3 linked regions of the Anolis sagrei genome follow. The protein of the gene in region 2 interacts with the protein of the main gene of each other region in a biochemical or structural test. Links are inferred from orthologs where the notes say so. Each region holds a gene or a part of one and is shown on either strand. Other genes may lie near its edges.

What was found.
Region 1: the proteins of ERBIN (region 2) and ABCA1 interact in a test that uses a peptide from one of them, tested with the Homo sapiens proteins (2 studies listed by BioGRID and IntAct). The link is inferred for Anolis sagrei from reciprocal best matches to the Homo sapiens genes ERBIN and ABCA1.
Region 3: the proteins of ERBIN (region 2) and PKP4 form a complex in vitro, tested with the Homo sapiens proteins (4 studies listed by BioGRID and IntAct, with this or other methods). The link is inferred for Anolis sagrei from reciprocal best matches to the Homo sapiens genes ERBIN and PKP4.

The regions. Positions count from the first base shown.
Region 1 is NC_090022.1:158,798,742-158,806,624, forward strand, and holds the start of ABCA1 (phospholipid-transporting ATPase ABCA1), read right to left. Parts: upstream 3,073-7,883; 5' UTR 2,825-3,072; intron 1-2,824. UniProt on the Homo sapiens protein: Catalyzes the translocation of specific phospholipids from the cytoplasmic to the extracellular/lumenal leaflet of membrane coupled to the hydrolysis of ATP.
Region 2 is NC_090022.1:267,864,931-267,872,005, forward strand, and holds the start of ERBIN (erbin), read right to left. Parts: upstream 3,039-7,075; 5' UTR 546-3,038; intron 1-545. UniProt on the Homo sapiens protein: Acts as an adapter for the receptor ERBB2, in epithelia. By binding the unphosphorylated 'Tyr-1248' of receptor ERBB2, it may contribute to stabilize this unphosphorylated state.
Region 3 is NC_090021.1:201,404,702-201,411,979, forward strand, and holds the start of PKP4 (plakophilin-4), read right to left. Parts: upstream 3,073-7,278; 5' UTR 2,920-3,072; intron 1-2,919. UniProt on the Homo sapiens protein: Plays a role as a regulator of Rho activity during cytokinesis. May play a role in junctional plaques.

The DNA of each region.
Region 1 (7,883 bases), about 110 Mb from region 2:
ATATAAACCCCACTTACCTAGTCTCTAACAGACCTCACAACCTCTGAGAATGCCTGCCATAGATGTGGGCAAAATGTCAGGAGGGAATGCTTCTGGAACATGGCCATACAGCCCAGAAAACTCACAGCAACCCAATGTATCTTTGGTGTCTGCTGGAATTTGGTTCCAGGACACCCCACTGTATAACATTACACATATGGAAGCCTGACTGCACATACATGTGTGTTTGTACACCTTCAAATCACCTTACGGTGACCCTGTGGATTTCCGAGGGTTTTCTTAGGCAAGGACTAGCCAGAGGTGGCTTTGCTTGCATACATGCAGCTTAAAGTAAAGCCCTAGCCTGGCAAAGACCTCCACAGACAGGCATACAGGCATTTGCCCGGCTGCTGGCTTTCATTAAGCTCTCCTTCCAAGCCGGGGTTACTCTCGGTCATTTCGTGCAACTTGGAGCTGTGTGGGTTTGTTTTTTGTCTTGTGCCTTTTTCTCTGTCAGTACATCTTGCGCCTCGTCTCAGCAGCCCCAACTGGAGGCACTTTCCGAGAAAGCAGCAGCAGCAGAGGAAAAAAGTATTTGTGAGAGAAAGAGAAAGAAAGAAAGAAAGAAAGAAAAGTGTGTGACAGAGAGAAAGGAAGACAAGTGTGTGAGAGAAAGGAAGGGTGATGCTTTATATACTGATAACATAATAATACCATATTTAATATGTCTTCTTTTACTTCCATATTGATTTTGTATTGTTATTTTGCCGATCTAATTTTAAAGAGATTGTTAATCTTATTACTGTTTATTGTTTGGGTTGTTTTGAGCTACTCTGAGTCCCCTTGGGGAGATGGGGCAGGAAACAAATAAAGATGATAGTGATGATGATGGTGGTGGTGATTATTAGAAAAGTGTGTGTGTGTATGTGTGTGAGAGAGAGAGGAAGAAAGAAGGAAGGAAAGAAGGAAGGAAGGACGAAAAAGTGTGTGAGGAAGGAAGGAAAGAGGGAGGAGGGAAGAAAAGAAAAGTGTGTGTGAGAGAAAGGATGGAAGGAAGAAAAGAAAGAAAAGTGTGTGAAAGACAGAAAGAAGGAAGGAAGGGAAAAAAGTGTGTGTGAGAGAGGACAGAAGGAAGGAAGGAAGGAAGGAAGGAAGGAAGGAAGGAAGGAAGGAAGGAAGGAAAGAAAAGTGTGTGTGAGAGAGGACGGACGGAAGGAAGGAAGGATGAATGTGTGAGAGAGGAAGGAAGGAAGGAAGAAAAGTGAGTGAGTGTGCGAGAGAGGGAGAGAAGTGTGTGAGAGAAAGGAAGAAAAGTGTGTGAGAGAAAGGAAGGAAAGGAAGAGAACAATGTGTGAGAGAAGAAGAAAGGAAGGAAAGAAGGAAAGTGTGTGTGAGAGAGAGAGAGAGAAAAGTGAGTGTGTGAGAGAGAGAGAAAGGAAGAAAAGTGTGTGAGAGAAAGGTAGGAAGGAAGAAAAGTGTGTGAGAGGAAGGAAGGAAGGGATGTGTGTGTGTGTGTGAGAGAGAGAGAAAGTGTGTGAGAGAAAAGAAGGTAGGAAGAAAAGCAAGAAAAGTGTGTAAAGAGGAAGGAAGGAAGGAAACTATGTGTGTGAGAGAGAGAGAAGTGTGTGAGAGAGGAAGGAAGGAAGGAAGGAAGGAAGGAAGGAAGGAAGGAAGGAAGAAAAGAATAAAAGGTTGTGTGTGTGTGTGTGAGAGAGAGAGAGAGAGAGAGAAAAGGTGTGAGAGAAAGGAAGAAAGGGAACAATGTGTGAGAGAGGAAGGAAGGAAGGAAGGAAGGAAGGAAGGAAGGAAAGTGTTTTTGAGAGACAGAGAGAGAGAGGAAGGAAGGAAGGAAGAAAGGAAGGAAGGAAGGAAGGAAAGGAAGAAAACTGTGTACAGAGGAAGGAAGGAAGGAAGGAAGGAAGGAAGGAAGGAAGGAAGGAAGGAAGGAAGGAGTAGAGAGAGGAAGGAAGGAAAATGTGTGTGTATGAGAGAGAGAAAGAAAAGTGTGTGAGAGAGAAAAAGAACAAAAGCAGCTTTCCTCTGCTTTGTGTCTCAATACTTCCTGTATGTCTTTCTTCCCTTTCTTTTACATGCCCAATCTTCAAAGTTCAATGTCAATGAAGCTTGTGGGTACACCAACACCATAGAGACATTTGGGGGAAGCTGGACAACGAGAGTCCTGAGGGATGTGTGCTTTTCCTTTGGTGAGCGATTGCTCCATCTCCACTAGAAAACCAGGGCAGTTTGACCCCACTTTTTCATTGCCAAGACTCAATGCTATTGGGTTCCTGGGAGTTGTAGCCTAGGAATTGTCCCTGGGAGTTGGGCAGAGAAGGCTAAAGGTGATGCAGAACTATAGGATTCCCATAGGATTGAGCTGTGGGGCTGGGACAGCTCCCCAAACGTTCCCTTTCCTAACCCATCACCGCCTTCTTCTTCTTTGTCCTTTCCAAGCCAGAAAGGACAAAGGAGTGTGTTTTCCCCTCCTCCGCCTTTCCAGTAACTCCCATCCAAACAAACCCCCCAACTTTGGGTCTCAAGCCACTCTTGACCCCGGGTTCGAATCCCGATGACCCCAAATTGGGTCAGAAAAGCCTTGGGACACCTTGCCAACGACTCAATTCCCCCACATTTCCTTGCCTGGAGCTAAGAAGACAAACAATTGACGGGGCAGGCAGGAGAAAGCACTCTGCACACGCTCAGACATCCTCTGGTCTCTTTTTGTTCTCAGTACACAAAGATCCACCCGTGGGACAAAGAGGGTGAGAAGAAATAACCCCCTTCTGACTCTCCTCCCCAAGTTTGCCCCCCTCCACCCTGTTGTTGTTGTTGTTGTTATGATTACCTCCTCGCCAGTTTGATGGGGAGGCGATTTTTCTCTCCCTCCGGCCAGGAATTGGAAAGACCTCCCGGAGTAGATCGGGGAGCCACTCGATCGGGGGCTCCTCCGGCTTCCTTTGTGGCTCCCACCGACGCGGCTGGGGCCAAACCAGGGCCAGTCCCGGACCCGGAGCGCCTTATATAGATCCCGCCGGCGCTGCGCCGAGGAGGTTATTATCGGTCAAGCGCGGCTTCCTTTCTGCCGCTCTGTTTATGTGTGGCCGTCACTCAGCCGCGGCACGTGGAGGGCTGGGACCGCCTCTTAAAGGGGACGCGTACATTTGGGGGGGGGGAGTAGAGAGCCCCCACCAATCTCTGCTGCTGTTCTTGTTGTCATTGGGGAACTCCAAGCCCTTTCTCACCCATGGGGAACCCCCAAACGAACCTACCCCAGGATTTCTTAAGATGGGGTATGGCCACTGCTTTCCTCTGAGGCTGAGAGAGTGTGACTCGCCCAAGATCACCCAGTAGGTTCCCAAGGCTGAGTGGGGATTGCAGCTCCACTTCCCAGACCTCAATCTATAGCACTATGTAACAAAATTTGATTTTTTTTTCTGTTCCTGGTTTGAAAGTCTTATAAAAGGTAAACGTTTTCCCCTGACGTGAAGTCCGGTCATGTCCGACTCTGGGTGTGGTGCTCATCTCCATTTCTAAGCCGAAGAGCTGGCGTTGTCCGCAGACCCTTCAAGGTCATGTGGCTGGCATGACTGCATAGAGCACTGTTACCTTCCCACTGGAGCAGGCCCGTAGCCAGGATTTCGATTCAAGGGCTGAGTTTGTTTGGGGGGGGGGGGGGGGGGGGCTGAGTCTGCGTAAAAGAGGGTCTACCCTAGCAAACGTTTTATATTGTTACCCCAATATCCCCATGCATATGGGAAATATTGAGTATGGTGATCAGATCATGATATGAATAAACATAACAGTTTAAACAGTAAGGCCTTTTCGTGAACCACCATGAGAATTTCAGGGGAGGGGCTGAAGCCCCTCAAGCCCCCCCCCCCCCCCCCCAGCTACATGCCTGCACTGGAGCAGTACTTATTGATCTATTCAGGGCTGGCTCGTCCATTACGCGAAGTAAGCGGTCGCAGAACACTTTTTTTTGCCAGGGGCGCAGAGGAACCTCTGTAAATGCCCCTCGACCGCCACTTGAGGAGCACCCCCTCAGCTCACAACAGCCCTAGCAGTCCGGGGGGCGCCTTGGCTTTCTTGCCTCGCTGCCGGGTGATCCTCTTCCCAAAGGGGCCAGACCCTTGAGCCTCGCCTAGCGCCTCTTGTTCCTGCTCCACCCGGCCACCGGGTGCGCGAGCAGAGCCTGTGCTCAATCGTTCTCTGCGTTCGATCCCTTCCCCATGACCGGCTCTCATGACCGGCTCTCATGACCGGCTCCCATAGAATCATAGAATCATAGAATCAAAGAGTTGGAAGAGACCTCATGGGCCATCCAGTCCAACCCCCTGCCAAGAAGCAGGAATATTGCATTCAAATCACCCCTGACAAATGGCCATCCAGCCTCTGCTTAAAAGCTTCCATGACCGGCTCCACCCGCCTCCTCTCCTTTCCCCAATCTGCGGGTGGGCCAAGGGGCGGAGCCGTCGCGCCTGGCCCACTTCGGGTCCAGAGGCATGTCTGAAGACCCCAGCATGCGCACCAAAAGTCACCTCTTCTCCTGACTTTCTCTTCAGCCATTGGGACCAAGAGAGAGAGAGAAAGAGAGAGACCCTCCAGCTGGAGGTGTCTCCTACCTCCGCTCCCTCCTTTGTTTTTGCACCTATCTTCAGGAAAGGTGGGCATCTCCACCTCTGTCTCTCTCTCTCTCTCTCTCGGTCCCAATGGCTGAGGAGAAAGTCAGGAGAAGAGGTGACTTTTGGTGCACACGCCGGGGTCTTCAGGCACGCCTCTGGATCCAAAGCGGGCCAGGCAAGGGAGCAAGTGTGGCAAGTGTAGTTACTGGGATGTATAGTTCATCTACAATCAAAGAGCATTCTGAACTCCACCAATGATGGAACTGAACCAAATATGGTACACAGAACTCCCACGACGAACAGAAAATATATATCAATGATTGGTTGGGGGGGGGGGGGGATACTGTTTGCTTACCATTGAAAATTACCTAGGGCCGCCTCTCTACTCACATTTGCATGTTTTCAAACTGCTAGGTTGGCAGAACCTGGGGCTAACAGTAAAAAGTCTTATAAGCATAAATATATACATAGATATACATGTATGTATTTATTTATTTCATATACTTGTACCCCACCCTTCTCACCCCTGGGCGGCCTCAAAGCAAACACCATTCTGTGCCCTTATAATGATAAAAACAATCAACCAATTCATTAAAACAAAACATTAAAGAAACAGTTGTTAAAACACGCCAATAAAAATCCGGATTCAGGTCAATTCATTGTCACTTCGAAATTGCTTATGTCTTCTTCATACAAGCCGCTGTTCAATGGTCAAATGCAAGATCCCACAGCCAAGTCTTAAGTTTCCTTCTAAAGGCAGGAGGGAGGTGGCCAGTCTGATGTCTTTGGGGAGGAAATTCCACAGATGGGGGCCACTGTTGAGAAGGCCCTCTCTCGTCTCCACCAATAGCATTTGCGACGGCGGTGGGATCAAGAGCAGGGCCTCTCCAGATGATCTTAAACTTCATGATGATTCGTAGCAGGAGATACATTCGGACATATAGTCTGGGCCAGAACCGTTTAGAGCTTTAAAGGTTACAACCAGCACTTTGAATTGTGCTCGATAGCGGATCAGCAGCCAGTGGAGCTGGTGTAATAGGAGTTGTATACTCCCTGTACGCCACTCTGGTGTGCAACCTGGCTGCCAACTGTTGGACTAGTTGAAGTGTCCGGGCAGTCTTCAAAGTCAGCCCCATGTAGAGCGCATTGCAGTAGTCTAATTGGGATGTAACAAGAGTGTGGCCCACTGTGGCCAAGTCAAACTTCCCAAGGTACATGCAGACATATCCACACAATATCTTTCTATTTATCTATCTGTGGCACAGCTAGTTAGTAGCCAAGGAGGCTGTCCGAACCTTGAACTGGTGTTTGGTTGCTGTGTCGGGCCGGATGAGAGCTAACCAATTGAAATTGAATCCAGACAAGACAGAGGTCCTACTGGTCAGTCGTAAGGCCGAACAGGGCATAGGGTTACCGCCTGTGTTGGATGAGGTTACACTACACATGAAGACAGGTACGCAGCTTGGGAGTGATCCTGGACTCATCGCTGAGCCTGGAACCCCAGGTCTCGGTGGTGGCTGGGATCGCTTTTGCACAGTTAAAACTTGTGCGCCAGCTGCACCCGTACCTTGGGAAGTTGGATCTGGCCACAGTGGTCCATGCTCTTGTCACATCCCGGATAGATTACTGCAACGCACTCTACGTGAAGACTGTTCAGAAACTGCAATTATTCCAAAGGGTGGCAGCTAGATTACTCACCGGAGCGTCATACAAGCAGCATACCCACCCACCCCCCATGGTGTCCGCTCCATTGGCTGCCGATCCAATTCCGAGCACAATTCAAAGTGCTGGTCTTGACCTATAAAACTCTATACGGCTCTGGTCCAGCATACCTGTCTGAACGTATCTCCTTCAACGTCCCACCTCAGAGCTTAAGATTTTCTGGGGAGGCCCTGCTCTCGGCCCCGCCTTTGTCTCAAACACATATGGCAGGGACAAGGGACAGGGCCTTCTCGATGGTGGCCTCCCGCCTGTGGAATTCGCTTCCTGGGAAAATTAGGTCATCGTCATCCCTCCTCACCTTTAGAAAGAAGGTAAAAACATGGTTGTGGGACCAGGCCTTTGGGCAATTAGGTTAAAGGACTATTGATAATGTTTGACTATGGCTTGGAAGTGAATTTGGATAAGTTAAGCAGAGTAATCATTAGTATATGGCTAAATAAATAGCCACCAGACTGGCAATAGTTAAATGGATCATAAGTATACTGTTTAATCTTTATTTCTTAATGTTCATGTTTTTAATTATTAAATTTTCTATTTTGTATTTTATGATGCTGCAATGAAGCCGCCCTGAGTCCCCCTAGGGGTTGAGAAGGGTGGGGTAAAAATGTTCAAAATAAATAAATAACTGCTTTAAATTACTACTGACCAAGAGCCGGCGTTGTCTGTAGACACCTCCAAGGTCATATGGCCCGAATGACTGCATGGAGTGCCGTTACCTTCCCACTGGAGCAGTACCTATTGATCTACTCACATTTGCATGTTTTCGAACTGCTAGGTTGGCAGAAGCTGGGGCTGACAGCAGAAACTCAAGGCGCTTCCTGGATTTCAACCTTTGACCTTTCTGTCAACAAACTCAGCAGCTCAGCGGTTTAATCCACTGCGTCACCAGTTATGTGCATTCAAATTATTTGTGAGCTTTGGCAGCCCTAAGTAAAACCTGTCACAGGGTATTCTTGGTAAGATTTGTTCATAATGCTTAGGTCAGCATGCTACAACATAAGGAAAATGAACATCATGATGACCTAAGCATTATGAGCAATAAACGAAATGGAACTGATCAGAATTGTCCTTCCAATCTTTTATTTGTCCTGCAGAGCAAAACATACAGTTTCCTACACAACACTAGGTTCTCCAGACGTCGATCTGCAAATCCAATCAACAATACCCAATATAAACAGTGGAGAGTCAAACAGACCCTATTCCCCTAACTCAAGCAAGGGCAAACTTCGCCTCGTCAGGTGTTTTGGACTTCAACTCCCACAATTCCTAACATCTGGTAAGTTGGCTGGGATTTCTGAGAGTTGAAGTCCAAAACACCTGGAGGGCCAAAGTTTGTCCATGCCTGCCCTATATGAGCCTCAGTGTTTCCCTCCATATGGCAAATGCCAGCTTAGGGAAGTGAAGTGTGTGGGACAATTGTGGAAATGACACAGAGGTATCTCCACTACCCGTGGGCTGCAGCTGCTGTTAATCTATATCTTCTCTATATATAAAAATGCACTGTGCTTAATGAGTACCTTAAAAACAAAAGAACCAATGAACGAAATCACACCAAATTTG
Region 2 (7,075 bases):
TAGACATTTTAAACTCAGGAATGCATAATCGGGCAGTTTCAATTCAATACCTTCTTGCTGTGGAACAAAGAAACTTCTGTTTGAGAGGCTTTGCCTCCCAACAAAAATTCTCCCAGATTTTCTCTCTGCAAGAAAATGCATGTAAGGATCACAGACACACATCCCGAAACTGGAAGTCAAATTCCTAATTCATAAAAGCATAAAATTGGGGGGAGGGGATCAAGAACATAGGCCATGAACTCAAAACGAAATACATATAACTTCCCTTCCTCCAATAGAAAAAAAATACTACAGGGTGGGCCGAAAGTCACAAAGGGGCTTCAATATTTAAGAACTCCTTTATTTTAGAATAAACATTATATACAATACATAAATAAATAAATAAAACTACATTATCTGCAAAATCTTGTTTTTTCATTGCTTTAAAAAGTCATCAAAAACATCAGACATCTTTGTGACTTTTGGCCCACACTGTGTATTAGCGATCTCCAAAAGAAGAAAAAATACCATTAGCCTATTTTTGGGGAATTATTTCCCCCACCCACCTCAGACTTCAGGCATCCAGATTTCCTCCATCTGCGCCGAGTTCTTCCAGCAACGTTTTAAATCCCAAGAGTGGATTTTTTTCCTCCCCAACAAAAAAACGAAAGCAAAGGGGAGAAGCAACAACTCTCAGTTGGGAGTGCCAGGGGGAAAAAGAGAGGCCAAATAAGCTCTTCTTGTTGTTGTTTGGGGGGGGGAGTTTTTGTTTCCTTTCCAAAACCCTTTTCTCCCCTTCACTTTTTCCTCTTAAGTTGAAAAGAAAAGGCCTCTAGAGTCTCTTCTACTCTTCTTTCTCTGTGTATTTTACTCCCTTTTCCTTGGTTTTTTTTATTCTTTTTGTTGCTTCCTTTCCACACAACACTTTCCTCCTCTTCACTTTTTTTCCCACTCAGTGGAGAAAAGATCTTGTCTAATCTCTGTTTCTCTCCCTTCTTCTCCTTTCCGTCTCTTCTTCTTCTTGGGAGGACTTTCCCTGGTGCTTCCTTTGCACAAAACTCCTTTCTCCCCTTTTGGTCGAGAAGGGGACAAAAAAAATCTCTTCTTTTCTTCTGCCTGATTATATCCTTTATTCTCTTCCTCGTTTAAGTCTCTTCTTCTTGGGGGGACTTTCCTTGGTGCTTCCTTTCCACAAAACCCCTTCCTCCTCTTCACTTTTCCCCTCTCAGTCGAGAAGGGAACCAAAGAAGTCTTTCCTTCTCTCTGATTAGATCCGTTCTTCTCCTCCTTTCCGTGTTTCAGCCTCTTCTTCTTCTTGCTTTTGTCCTGGTTTGTTATCCTTTTCCAAAACTCACTCCAGTTGTGAAGAAGGAGAGAAAAGCTCTCGTCGAGTCTCTCCCTCTCTCTTCACCTCCTTCTTCCTCTGTTTCAGTCTCTTCTTGCAGTGTTTTTTTTTCCTTGACGTTGTTGTATCCTTTCAACAACTCACTCCAGTTGTGTAGATGGGGAAAAAGCTCTCGCCCGGTCTCAATTTTTTGTGTGTTTCAGTCCCCTTTTTCTCCTTCTCTTCTTCTTGCGTTTGCCGTTGTTTGTTGTACCCTTCCCACAACTCACTCCTGTTGTGAAGAAGGGGAGAAAAGCTCTCGTCGGGTCTCAGTCTTCGCGTGTTTCAGTCTCCTTTTTTTGCAACCTCCTTCTTCCCGTTTCAGTCTCTTCTTGCGGTGTTTTATTTCCTTGTTTGTTGTATCCTTTCCACAACTCACTCCAGTTGTGTAGAGGGGAGAAAAGCTCTAATTGAGTCTCAATATCTGCTTGTTTCAATCTCCTTTTTCTCCTCCTCGTTCTTCCCCTGTTTCAGTCTCTTCTTGCGGTGTTTTTCCCCCTTGTTGTTTGTTGTATCCTTTCCACAACTCACTCCAGTTGTGTAGAGAGGAGAAAAGCTCTGTGTGTGTTTCAGTCTCCTTTTTCTCCTCCTCCTTCTTCCCCTGTTTCTGTCTCTTCTTGCGGTGTTTTTCCCCCTTGTCGTTTGTTGTATCTTGCGGTGTTTTATTTCCTTGTTTGCTGTATCCTTTCCACAACTCACTCCAGTTGTGTAGAGAGGAGAAAAGCTCTCGTTGAGTCCCAATTTCTGTGTGTTTCAGTCTCCTTTTTCTCCTCCTCCTTCTTCCCCTGTTTCAGTCTCTTCCTGCGGTGTATTTTTTTCCTCTTGTCGTTTGTTGTATCCTTTCCACAACTCACTTGTACAGAGGAGAGAAAAGCTCAATCTCTGCGTGTTTCAGTCCCTTTTTCTCCTCCTTCTTTCCGTGTTTCAGTCTCTTCTTTCTTGCGGCGTTTTTCCCCCCTTGTTGTATCCTTTCCTGTTGCGAAGAAGGGGGAGGAAAGGTCTCCTCGCGATAATACTCTTGCGGGTTTTTCCCCCCACCTTGTTGTATCCTTTCCAATTGCGAAGAAGAAGGGGGGGGGGAGGAGAGGTCTCGTCGAGTCTCCTCCTTTCTCTCTCTCTTTCCGCCCTGACAAAATATGCGGTTTCAGGTGCCTCAAACGCCGCCCAGTCCCGGCTGAGGAGTCATTTCCTGCCCCTCATGAAACCCAACTGAGGCCTGCTTTCCCCGGCCTCTTGGAGGCCCAAACCCTCCTTCCTTCCTTCCCTCACGAGGCCTTGGATGCTGTCGTCGCCTCCTTCACTGCTACTAGGAAGGGAAAGCGAGATGGAGGCGCAACAAGCCCCTTCCTTCCCTCCTTCCTTCCTTCTCTCCTCCTCCTCCTTTTCCTTTCTTCCCCTGCTTCCTCTGCCTCACACTCGACTCCTCCTCCTCACACTTCCCCCTTCCTTCCTTCTTTCCCCATTATTCCCGCCCTCAGCAGCTCTCTCTCTCTCTCTCTCTCTGTATGAGGTGTTTCTCTCCTCAAAGGGCGGAGGAAGGGAGGGAGGAAGCAGCAACAGCTCAAGAGGGCGGCGGGCGTTACTATTACTACTACTACGCGGCTTTTGCGCCTCCGCCCAGGCCAGAGAGAGAGAGACTGAGAGAGGCCTTCCCTCCCTCCTCCTCCCTTTTCAGACTTTTCTTTCCCCCTCAGAGCCAGACAACAAGTCTGGCAATGGGCGACGCGCCTCAGCCAATCCGGAGAGAGGAGACTCCCGTCGCAGCCAATCAGGTGGCGCTCTCAAGGTTTGGCCGGGAAGGAAGGGAGGAAAAAGATCAGGTTAGGGTGTGAGGAATAAGAAAAAAAAATCTCTCTCTCTATATATAAAGATAGGTAGGAGGGAAGGAGAGGAAAGGGTTTTTTTTTTTTGTCACTTAGGTTTGGAGGGGAAATAATAATTTATTTATTTATTTGCTTTACTTTACTTGTATACTGCAGTTTCTCAGCCCAGCAGGCGACTCAAGGCGGTTTACAACAAGGAAAACATCAATCAACAATATACAATTTAAAACCATAAAAGCATAATATACAATATTGACACAACAACAGGTAGCACAATGCATCTCATAACATAACAGAGTCGCGATCCAATCCGTCATCTAACTAAAATGATAAAAGGTCTGGAGAACAAGCCCTATGAGGAGCGGCTTAAGGAGCTGGGCATGTTTAGCCTGAAGAAGAGAAGGCTGAGAGGGGATATGATAGCCATGTATAAATATGTGAGAGGAAGCCACAGGGAGGAGGGAGCAAGCTTGTTTTCTGCTTCCTTGGAGACTAGGACGCGGAACAATGGCTTCAAACTACAAGAGAGGAGATTCCATCTGAACATGAGGAAGAACTTCCTGACTGTGAGAGCCGTTCAGCAGTGGAACTCTCTGCCCCGGAGTGTGGTGGAGGCTCCTTCTTTGGAAGCTTTTAAACAGAGGCTGGATGGCCATCTGTCAGGGGTGATTTGAATGCAATATTCCTGCTTCTTGGCAGGGGGTTGGACTGGATGGCCCATGAGGTCTCTTCCAACTCTTTGATTCTATGATTCTATGATCCAAATTTCCATTCCTGTAATAAATTATTTCCTCTCCAAATAAATAATTTATTATTATTTCCTCTCCAAACCTAAGTGACAAAAAAAAACTTATTATTTCCTCTCCAGTACGCATGCCTAGTGTGGAACACATCTCACCACACTAAAACAGTAGATGTGGCTCTTAATGAGACATGCCGCATTATCACAGGGTGTCTGCGCCCCACACCACTGGAGAAATTACACTGCTTAGCTGGTATTGCACCACCTTACATCCGCCGGGAAGTAGCAGCCAATAGTGAAAGGACCAAGGCAGAGACATCTCCAGCTCATCCCCTGTTTGGGTTTCAGTCAGCACGTCAACGACTCAAATCAAGAAATAGTTTTCTTAGATCTACAGAGACACTCGCTGAAACACCTCAGCAAGCAAGAGTCCAAAAGTGGCAGGCCCAAACCCAGCACCTCAATCTGTGGGTGATGCCAGATGAGAGACTCCCCCCTGGGCACACAGAAGACTGGGCGACTTGGAAGGCGCTGAGCAGTCAGCGCTCTGGCACCACGAGATGCAGAGCCAACCTTCAGAAATGGGGCTACAAAGTGGAATCCACGGCATGCGAGTGTGGAGAAGAACAAACCACTGACCATCTGCTGCAATGCACCCTGAGCCCTGCCACATGCACAATGGAGGACCTTCTTGCGGCAACACCAGAGGCGCTCCAAGTGGCCAGATACTGGTCAAAGGACATTTAATCAACTACCAAGTTTGCAAAATCTGTGTTTTTTTAAATCTATTTGTTTGTTTTGTTCTGTTAGAAATGTAATACAATGGTATGGTTGCTGATGACACGATAAATACATTTTCTCTCCAAAGAAATGCTGGACCACTCTTACAACCACCATGTCAGACTACACAGGGAAGCCACTGAAATCCACAAGCATGTGGACAATTTCAACAGAAAGGAAGAAACCATGAAAATGAACAAAATCTGGCTACCAGTATTAAAAAACTCAAAAATTACAGCAGCAAAACAACAGAGAGTAAACAATCAGGCACATCTAATCACCTCTCAACAAAAGACTGCCCCAGGCACTGCCAGGCTATCAAATGCTAATCAAGGTGGTCAGTTGAAACATTCACACCTAGCTCCAGCAGACAAGAGTTCTTTGTCCCACCCTGGTCATTCCACAAATATATAAACCCATTTTCCTACTTCCAACAGACCTCACTACCTCTGAGGATGCTTGTCATAGATGCAGGCGAAACGTCAGGAAAAAATGCCTCTAGAACATGGCCATATAGCCCGGAAAAACCAACAACCTAATAATAAAGAGTTTGAATAGAGGACAAGTCAGGAGACCACTTTCAATCCTTGGGGAGGGGATAAGAAAGGGAAGAGGGTTTTAGTATTTGCATAAAGGAGAGTGAAACAGAAAGGTGTATACATAGGAGATATATAGATATAGGACTCAGTCACACACAGAATAGAGGGGTAGCATTACTTCCCTAACACAGTGTCTAGATATAGGGAAGTCATGCTACCCCTCTATTCTGCTTTGGTTAGACCACACCTGGAATATTGTGTCCAATTCTGGGCACCACAATTCAACAGAGATATTGACAAGCTGGAATGTGTCCAGAGGAGGGCGACTAAAATGATCAAGGGGCTGGAGAACAAGCCCTATGAGGAGCGGCTTAAGGAGCTGGGCATGTTTAGCCTGAAGAAGAGAGGAGATATTTATTTATTTATCATGTCATCAGCAACCATACCATTGTATTACAATTCAAACAGAGCAAAACAAACACACAGATTAAAAAGGGAAAAAAAGAGGAGATATGATAGCCATGTATAAATATGTGAGAGGAAGCCACAGGGAGGAGGGAGCAAGCTTGTTTTCTTCTTCCCTGGAGACTAGGATGCGAAACAATGGCTTCAAACTACAAGAGAGGAGATTCCATCTGAACATGAGGAAGAACTTCCTGACTGTGAGAGCCGTTCAGCAGTGGAACTCTCTGCCCCGGAGTGTGGTGGAGGCTCCTTCTTTGGAAGCTTTTAAACAGAGGCTGGATGGCCATCTGTCAGGGGTGATTTGAATGCAATATTATTATTATTATTATTATTATTATTATTAACTTTATTTGTACCCCGCGAGCATCTCCCGAAGGACTCGATGCGGCTTACACAGGCCGAAGCCACAACACACAATACAATAGAGAACGTAACAAGTAATAACGAAGCAAATCAAAAATCAAAAAGCAAATCAAAATCAGAAATTAGCGAGACAGCAATAACAATACATCAAGACATATTAAAACTGGTTCGGCCGGCGAGAGGGGTACAAGGTTAAAAGTGCTGAAATGGCAGGAGGGGCGTAGGAATTAAAGTATGGTGTGCAGCAATGTTAATTGTGCTAAAGTGCTACTAGGACTTGGGATAGGGATTCCTAATCTGGGAAGGCACAATGGAACAGCAAGTTTCCAAATATTCCTGCTTCTTGGCAGGGGGTTGGACTGGATGGCCCATGAGGTCTCTTCCAACTCTTTGATTCTATGATACTACAGCAACTTAAGCCCTTGGGAGTGTTTTGGACTCCCAACTCCCAGGGTAGGCTGTTAGGAATTGTGGAAGTTGGACTTCAAAACACCTGGAGGGCCAAAGTTTACTCATGCCTGCACTACAGAGTTATATTTTCCTTGGGAGCAAGGTTACAACAACATCTATTATAGAACTTCAGTATGCTGATGACAATGTCGTCTGTGCGCATTCAGAAGAAGACCTAAAAGCCACCCTAAACATCTCTGCAGAAGCATATGAGAAGCTCGGCCTGTCATTAAACATCGAGGAAACCAAAGTGCTCTTCCAGCAGTCACCAGCCAATCCCTCTCAAAGCCAACCTTAAAAACTCTGGCATAGACATTGAGAACTGGGAAGCCTTGGCCCTTGAGCGCTCCAGTTGGAGGTCAGCTGTGACCAGCAGTGCTGTAGAATTTGAAGAGGCTCGAATGGAGGGCGAAAGAGAGAAACATGTCAAGAGGAAGGCCTGTCAAGCCAACCCCGACCGGGACCGCCTTCCACCTGGAAACTGATGTCCTCACTATGGGAGAAGATGCAGGTCAAGAATAGGGCTCCACAGTCACTATGGACCCACCAC
Region 3 (7,278 bases), on a different chromosome or scaffold from region 2:
CACACGCTTTCGCTCTCTCTCTGCAGCATGCATGCAGCGGCTTCCTACTGGATAGATGGTCCAGTGACCTTTGGCTGTTAAGAGAGCTGGGCAAGGAGCGGATCTGTTGCAGCAGTCTTCCTAGGCATTCCTCACATTCCTGCACTATCGGAAAGCTCCAGGAGCAAACTACGTGCCCCCTCCCACACACAAGCACACACACCTGCCCTCCCATTCGCCCAGAGAGCCAACCGCTTCCGTCCGTCTGTCGCACTCCTCAAACATGCAGCCAAAAAGGCAAGCAGCCACTACCCCTCCCAGTCTTCCCCCTACAAAGTGATTGCAGGGGCATAGGAGTTGTGAGGTCTGGTCTGCTTCAGAGGAAAGCCAGGACAGGGAGAAAGAGAGCGGGGAGAAAGAGAAAATGCCACTGGCACTCTATGGATTCTCTCCTCAAGCTTAGATGCAAGGAGCTCTAACAAGCAAATGGGGGAAATACAAGATGGGGCGAGGTCGAGTGAGGGTAGACTATACAGGTTAAGAAAGAAGGGTTTTTGGAGGGCCAAGACTGAGCCGAGGGAACAGGGAAATGAGGGGAAGGGCTTTTAAGAAGCCGAAGAAGCAGGAAGAAATGCCTGCAACGACAAGGAGAGAAAGGCTGAGGCAAAGGAATGGAAATAGAATTGAAGGGATGGAAAGCGAATTGTCAGGGTTTGGGAGGCATGAACAGGTTTGTGCATACTAGTCAGGAGGAGAGCTGTTACTGGCACTCAAGGAATGGGAAAAAGGCACACAGGAGTAAACAGATAACTAAAAGGCAATATCAGATACAGGATAAGGAGTGAAAAGCTTTACAGAAATTAGAGCGCATCCCTTTTAACAAGGGGCCAAAAATTAAAGAAAGGCCAGGATTTTTTTTCAAAAGGCAATGTTCAGGGAGTGAAGGACATCAGGTAAATTCCTGGTGAGGAAGAATAGCAAGTTACAATGAGAGGAATTTCAGGGGAGATAAATATCGTGAGATGAGTGGGGAGGGAGTTATTTCAGGACAAATGGAAACATTAAGAGAGTCTATGTTCTAGTAAAAGACTCGTGGGGTGCTGTATAGAATGGTACCCATTTCAACCAGTAAGCCCAAACTACACGAGGAAGGGCAAAGGAGACAAGTAATAAAAAGGAGGTGGCGGAATCTGCATAAAGGAAGTTGTTACAGGAGATAGGAGGACAGCTAAGGTGGAGCCTATTTATATTAAAAAAATTGAACAAGAAACTGATGGATATGGGCATCCTTAGAATTTTTTAAAATTGTGCCAGGAGCAACTTAAGAATTTGCAAGTCGCTTCTGGTGTGAGAGAATTGGCTGTCTGCAAGGACGTTGCCCAGAGGACACCCGGATGTTTGACCACACTGTGGGAGGTTTCTCTCATGTCCCCACATGGTGAACTGGAGCTGACAGACAGGAGCTCACCCCGCACCCCGGATTTGAACCGCTGACCTTTTGGTCAATAGCCCTGTCAGCACAAGAGTTTAACCCATTGCTCCACCACAACACACTCTTAGGATAAGAAATAAATAAATAAAATGTTTAGGATGGGAAGACACAGAAGGCAGAGTTGATGGAAGCAGAATATTGTCAGGATGATAAGATGGAGCACCCACTGCTGATTTACAAAAGAAAATAAGTAAAATAGGGAAATGGGTGGGGGGAAAGCACCCTGAAGATAAAGAGAAAGGGGGGAGGGGGAATTATGCTTAGGATGGGAAGATAAGGAAGGAGGAGGTATAGTGGGAAGGGGGGCAATGCAAAGGTTACTTAGAGGGTAAAGGAGAGGATCTTGGAAAGTGGGATGGGAAAGGAAACGAGAAAAGACAAGACAAGCAGCAATGTTTATGAGGAGCGGCAGTCCTAAGCAGAGCCAAACCAAGGAGACACACTGACGATGAGAAATAATTACACCGTAAATATAATAAAAATAAGATATAGTGGGGGAGAGGGGCGATGCAAAGGTTACTTAGAGGGTAAAAGAAAGGATCTTGGGAGTCGTAAAGTGGGATGAGAAAGGAAGCAAAAGGAGACAAGATAAGCAGAGAGGAAGCAGTGCTAAGCATAACCAAACCAAGGAGACACATTACATTGACCATGGGAAATAAATACATTTGAATATAATAAAAAATGATATGATGATGGTGATACCACGAGGATTTCAAGGGAGGCTGGCAAGTTTTGGGAGAATGATGGGGCACTTGAAACCCTCCTGTTTGAAACAAATACATGTAAATATAATAAAAAATAATGATGTGATGATACCACAAGGATCTCAAGGGAGGCTGGCAAGTTTTGGGAGAATTATGAGGCACTTGAAACCCTCCAGTTTGAAACAAATACATGTAAATGTAATAAAAAATAATGATATGATGATGATGATACCACGAGGATTTCAAGGGAGGTTGGCAAGTTTTGAGAGAATGAGGGGGCAATTGAAACCGTCCTGTTTGAAACAAATACATGTAAATGTAATAAAAAATAATGATATGATGATGATGATGATACCACGAGGATTTCAAGGGAGGTTGGCAAGTTTTGAGAGAATGAGGGGGCACTTGAAACTCTCCTGTTTCGCAATGGGAGGTCAAAATGGGGGGTAATAATTACACTAACAACAATATAATACTAGTAATGCGATAAAGTAATAATATGACCACAAGGAGGGGCAAGTTGGAGGAAAGGATGGGAAAGAGGCGAGCCAGGCTGGATGCCTCGTGCCTTCTTCCCCTTGGTCTCCCACAGGGAGGGAAGTTGCTGGAAGAAGGAGAGGGCAAGGCGGGGGTGAGGGTGGCGAGGAGCTGCCTCAGGATGCAGGGAGGCGACCCACCTGGCCCCGCGCCCTCCCCTCCTCCCTCCCTCCCTCACGCTCTTCCTTCCCTCACTCCCTCACTCACCGCGGCGCCGAGTCTTCGCTGGCGCGGAGGGGCCGCCACCGCCGCCTCCCCGCCGGCCGGGAAGGGCCCTACCCCGGGGCGCCCATGGTCCCGGTGCCGCCACCGCTGAGGAGAAACACGAAACCCTCCTTCCTTCCTCCCTCCCTCCCTTCCTTCGCCGCCTGCTTCTCCCCGCCCCTCCGCCAGACGTCAGCGCCTCGCCCTGCCCTGCGCCTCGCCCCGATTGGAGGAGCGCGCCGCGAGACGCCTCGCCATTGGCCCGCCGCGGGGCTCAAACCGCCCAATGGCGGAGCCAGCTGAGGTTGCCAGGGTTACCGATGCTGTGAAGAGGCCGGCGGGCGAGCAGGCGAGGAGAAGGAGAAGAAGGGGGGAAGCTGCACTTCCTTCAGGTCAGGCCCGGCCCAGGGAGAGGGGCTCTCTCGCACCTCCACACCCCGCTACAGTCATCTACAGTTTGACACCGTTTTCAACTGCCAAGGCTCCATGCTGGGGGATCCTGGGAGTTGTAAATTTGGTGAGGCACCAGCACTCTTCGGCCGAGCAGCAACCTCGAGGCCTTCTGAAGCTACAGCTCCCACTATTCCATAGGATTGAGCCATGGCAGTCAATGTCTGCTCAAGCTGCGTTCCAATTTACAGTGTACATCAGGCCTGGGCAAACTTCGGCCCTCCAGGTGTTTTGGATTCTAACTCCCACAATTCCTAACAGGAATTGTGGGAGTTAGGGTCCAAAACACCTGGAGGGCCGAAGTTTGCCCAGGCCTGATGTACAGTGTACACTGATGTACACTGTTTGCCCAGGCCTGATGTACACCTAACAGGAATTGTGGGAGTTGGAGTACAAAACACCTGTAGGAATTGTGGGAGTTGGAGTCCAAAACACTTCAGCCCTCCAGGTGTTTTGGACTCCAACTCCCACAATTCCTAAAAGGAATTGTGGGAGTGGGAGTGCAAAACACCTGTAGGAATTGTGGGAGTTGGAGTCCAAAACACCTGGAGGGCTGAAGTTTGCCCAAGCCTAATTCCTAACAGTTTGGAATTGTGGGAGTTGAAGTCCAAAACACCTAGAGGGCCAGAGTTTGCCCCTGCCAGGTGTAGATGCAGGGAGAAATTGGGAGGTAATGAGGGGAGGATGGGGACCAATAACAGCAAGAGATGCATGGACTTCAACTCCCACAATTCCTAACACTTAGGAATTGTGGGAGTTGAAGTGCAAAACACCTGGAGGGCCAAAGTTTGCTCATACCTGGTGTAGATGCACTCCAGGGCGGTAATGGGGGAGGATGGGAACCAATAACAGCAAGAGATGCAGGAACTTGTGCCCTAAGTAAACTCTATTGCTTCCCCACCACTTTCAGGATGCATCTACACCAGGCCTGGGCAAACTTCGTCCCTGCAGGTTGTTTGGACTCCAACTCCCACAATTCCTAACACTTAGGAATTGTAGGAGTTGAAGTGCAAAACATCTGGAGGGCCAAAGTTTGCTCATGCTTGGTATAGATGCACTCCAGGGAGGAACTGGGAGGTAATGGGGGAGGATGGGAACCAATAACAGCAAGAAATGCAGGAACTTCTGCTCTAAGTAAACTCTGCTGCACTGGTTCTTAACCTGTGGGTCCCCAGATGTTTTGGCCTTCAACTCCCAGAACCCCTAACAGCTAGTAAATTAGCTAGGATTACTGGGAGTTGTTGGCCAAAACATCTGGGGACCCAAAGGCTGAGAACCACTGGTCTAGTGTTTCCTCCACTATTCTCGGGGTGCATCTATATCAGGCCTGGGCAGACTTGAGCCTTCCAGTTGTTTTGGACTCCAACTTTCACTATTCATAACAGTTAGGAACTGTGGGAGTTGAAGTCCAAAACACCTGGAGGGCCAAAGTCTGCCCCTGCCTGATGTAGATGCACCCCAGGGAGGAACTGGGGGGAGAATGGGAACCAATAACAGCAGGAACTTGTGCCCTAAGTAAACTCTACTGTTTCCTCACCACTCAGGGTGCACCAGGCATGGGAAAGCTTTGGCCCTCCAGATGTTTTGGACGCCAAATCCCACAATTCCTAATATTTAGGAATTGTGGGTGTTGAAGACCAAAACACCTGGAGGGCCAAAGTTATCTACACTGTGTAATTAATGCAGTTTGACCCCACTTTAAGTGCCATGGCTCTGCACTATGGAATCCTGTAATAATAATGATAATGATAATATTCCTTACCCGCCTCTCCTCATGGCTCGAGGTGGGTTACAAAACAATTAAAATACATAAATACGGCTAATGATGATGGGAAGCAGAACTCAGGCAGAGAAGATTAAATGCCTAGTAAAATTTCTAATCCCATGCCACCATAGCGTTGAGCCATGAAAATTAAAGTGGTGTGAAACTGAATTAATTCTACAGTATAAATGCATCCTCAGAAACGTCTTCATCAAATAGATTAAAGCCACACAGGCAACATGCCTTTTAAATAGTACTGTTGTCCGGGTTTGCATTTTCTTTGCAGCTCTTTTTTTCCTTCTTCTGCTGTTTCCCTCATACACATTTTCTTTCTTTCTTCCCTTTATCTTCCTTCACTTCTCTTCGCTTCTTTTTCTTTCTAACCTCCCTCCCTCCCCCCCCCCTTTTTCCCATTCCTTTCTCTTTCTTTCCCTTCCCTCATACCTTCTCCCCAGGCCCGTAGCCAGGATTTCGATTTGGGGGGAGGGGCGGGGCTGAGTTTTTGTCAGGGTTTTTTGGGGGGGCTGAGTTTGGGGGGGGGGGCTGTGTCTGAGTGAAAAAGGGTCTACCCTAGCAAACCTTTTGTATCATTACCCACTTCTCCATGCATATGGGATATATTGAGTATGGTGATCAGATCATGATATGAATAAACAACAGTTTAAATAATGCACCAATAAGGCCTTTTCGCGAACCACCATAAGAATTTCAGGGGGGGGGCTGAAGCCCCTCAAGACCCCCCCCCCCCCCGCTACATGCCTGCTTCTCCTCTTTCCTTTCTCTTCCTTCCCTCCTTTTTCTTTCTTCTCTCTCACTCTTTTCCTTTTTCCTTCCTTTGTTTCCCTTTGTTTTCCTTCCTCCCTACCTTCTCTGCATACACATCACTTAGCAGCAGCCAATCTACTTCCCTCCCTTTCTTTCCCAAGTATGTTACAGAGGGCCACTTCACCTAGCAACAGCCAATCCACTTTGTTCCTTTTCTTTCCCTCAACTCTGCTGTATTTTTGTATTTGTCCCTAACATATATGAGATATATTTTATTTACTTTGTGTGTGTGCATGTGTGTGTATCCTTCCCACAAATTTTGTTGAAGATTTTGGAGATGTACTTTACTAAAGGTAACAGGTCCCATCTGATTTGCATGCGAAGGAAGGTCAGGCCTGATTAATACTTGGATGGGACAGCCAACACATACGGTCCTATGGGCTATATATATTTCAAAGGAATAGACTGGTAAAACTACCTCTGAGTATTCCTTGCCTAAGAAAACCCTATGAAATGTATAAAGTCACCATAAGTAGACAGGTGACATATTCACACACACAAGTAATAGCCAATACACTTAATGGAAACCCTATTTTTGATGTATTTTAAACAATCAGCAGTTCAGAAAGGAAAGTTATTTTTTCTGATGTTAATGGAGTTGCAGTTTTATTGCCCTCATTTTACAGCTTTTTGGCCACATCTACACTGTCATAAAATGCCATTTGAAGTTGTATTATGGTGGTGTGGATTGGGCCTTAGTTTCAGTGCTCACATGACTACAAAGGTCCTCTGATTCCATTGATATCTCTCCAGAACATCTTAACTGACAACAACAAAAACCCTGAGAGAACACAGACCTATGAGTCTAACTTCTCATTTTTTCTTTTTCTTGTATGATTGTTAACACTTTTGCCTAATGAAGAAGCCAGTGGAGCTTTGGAAGCATATGTGTTTTATGTGCATATTTTGTACATTTTTATTGTTTCGTGGATGTTTTGTTCTCTTAAAGTATGTATGTGCGTATCTTGTCTCTGATCAGATGTATGTAACTGCACATGCATGGTCACTTCACAAGAACAGTGCCTTTTAAGTTACAGAATCATAGAGTTCAAAGAGACTGCAAGGACCATCCAGTCCAACTTCCTGACATGCAGGTATACACTATCTGATATAGGAAAACCAGTCTCCTCCCACCCCAAGGTGGCCATATTTGTGTCCACTAGTTATATTTTATTTTTCCAATATGTCAAAGACTAGCACTATGTTTGCATCCATTGAGACCAACGTTTTTCTACTATTTCATTTTCCACATCATTTTGGTTTGTTAAGTATAATATATACAAGGGCAATTAGTTTATTTATATATAATTGTTTCTCATTCTTCA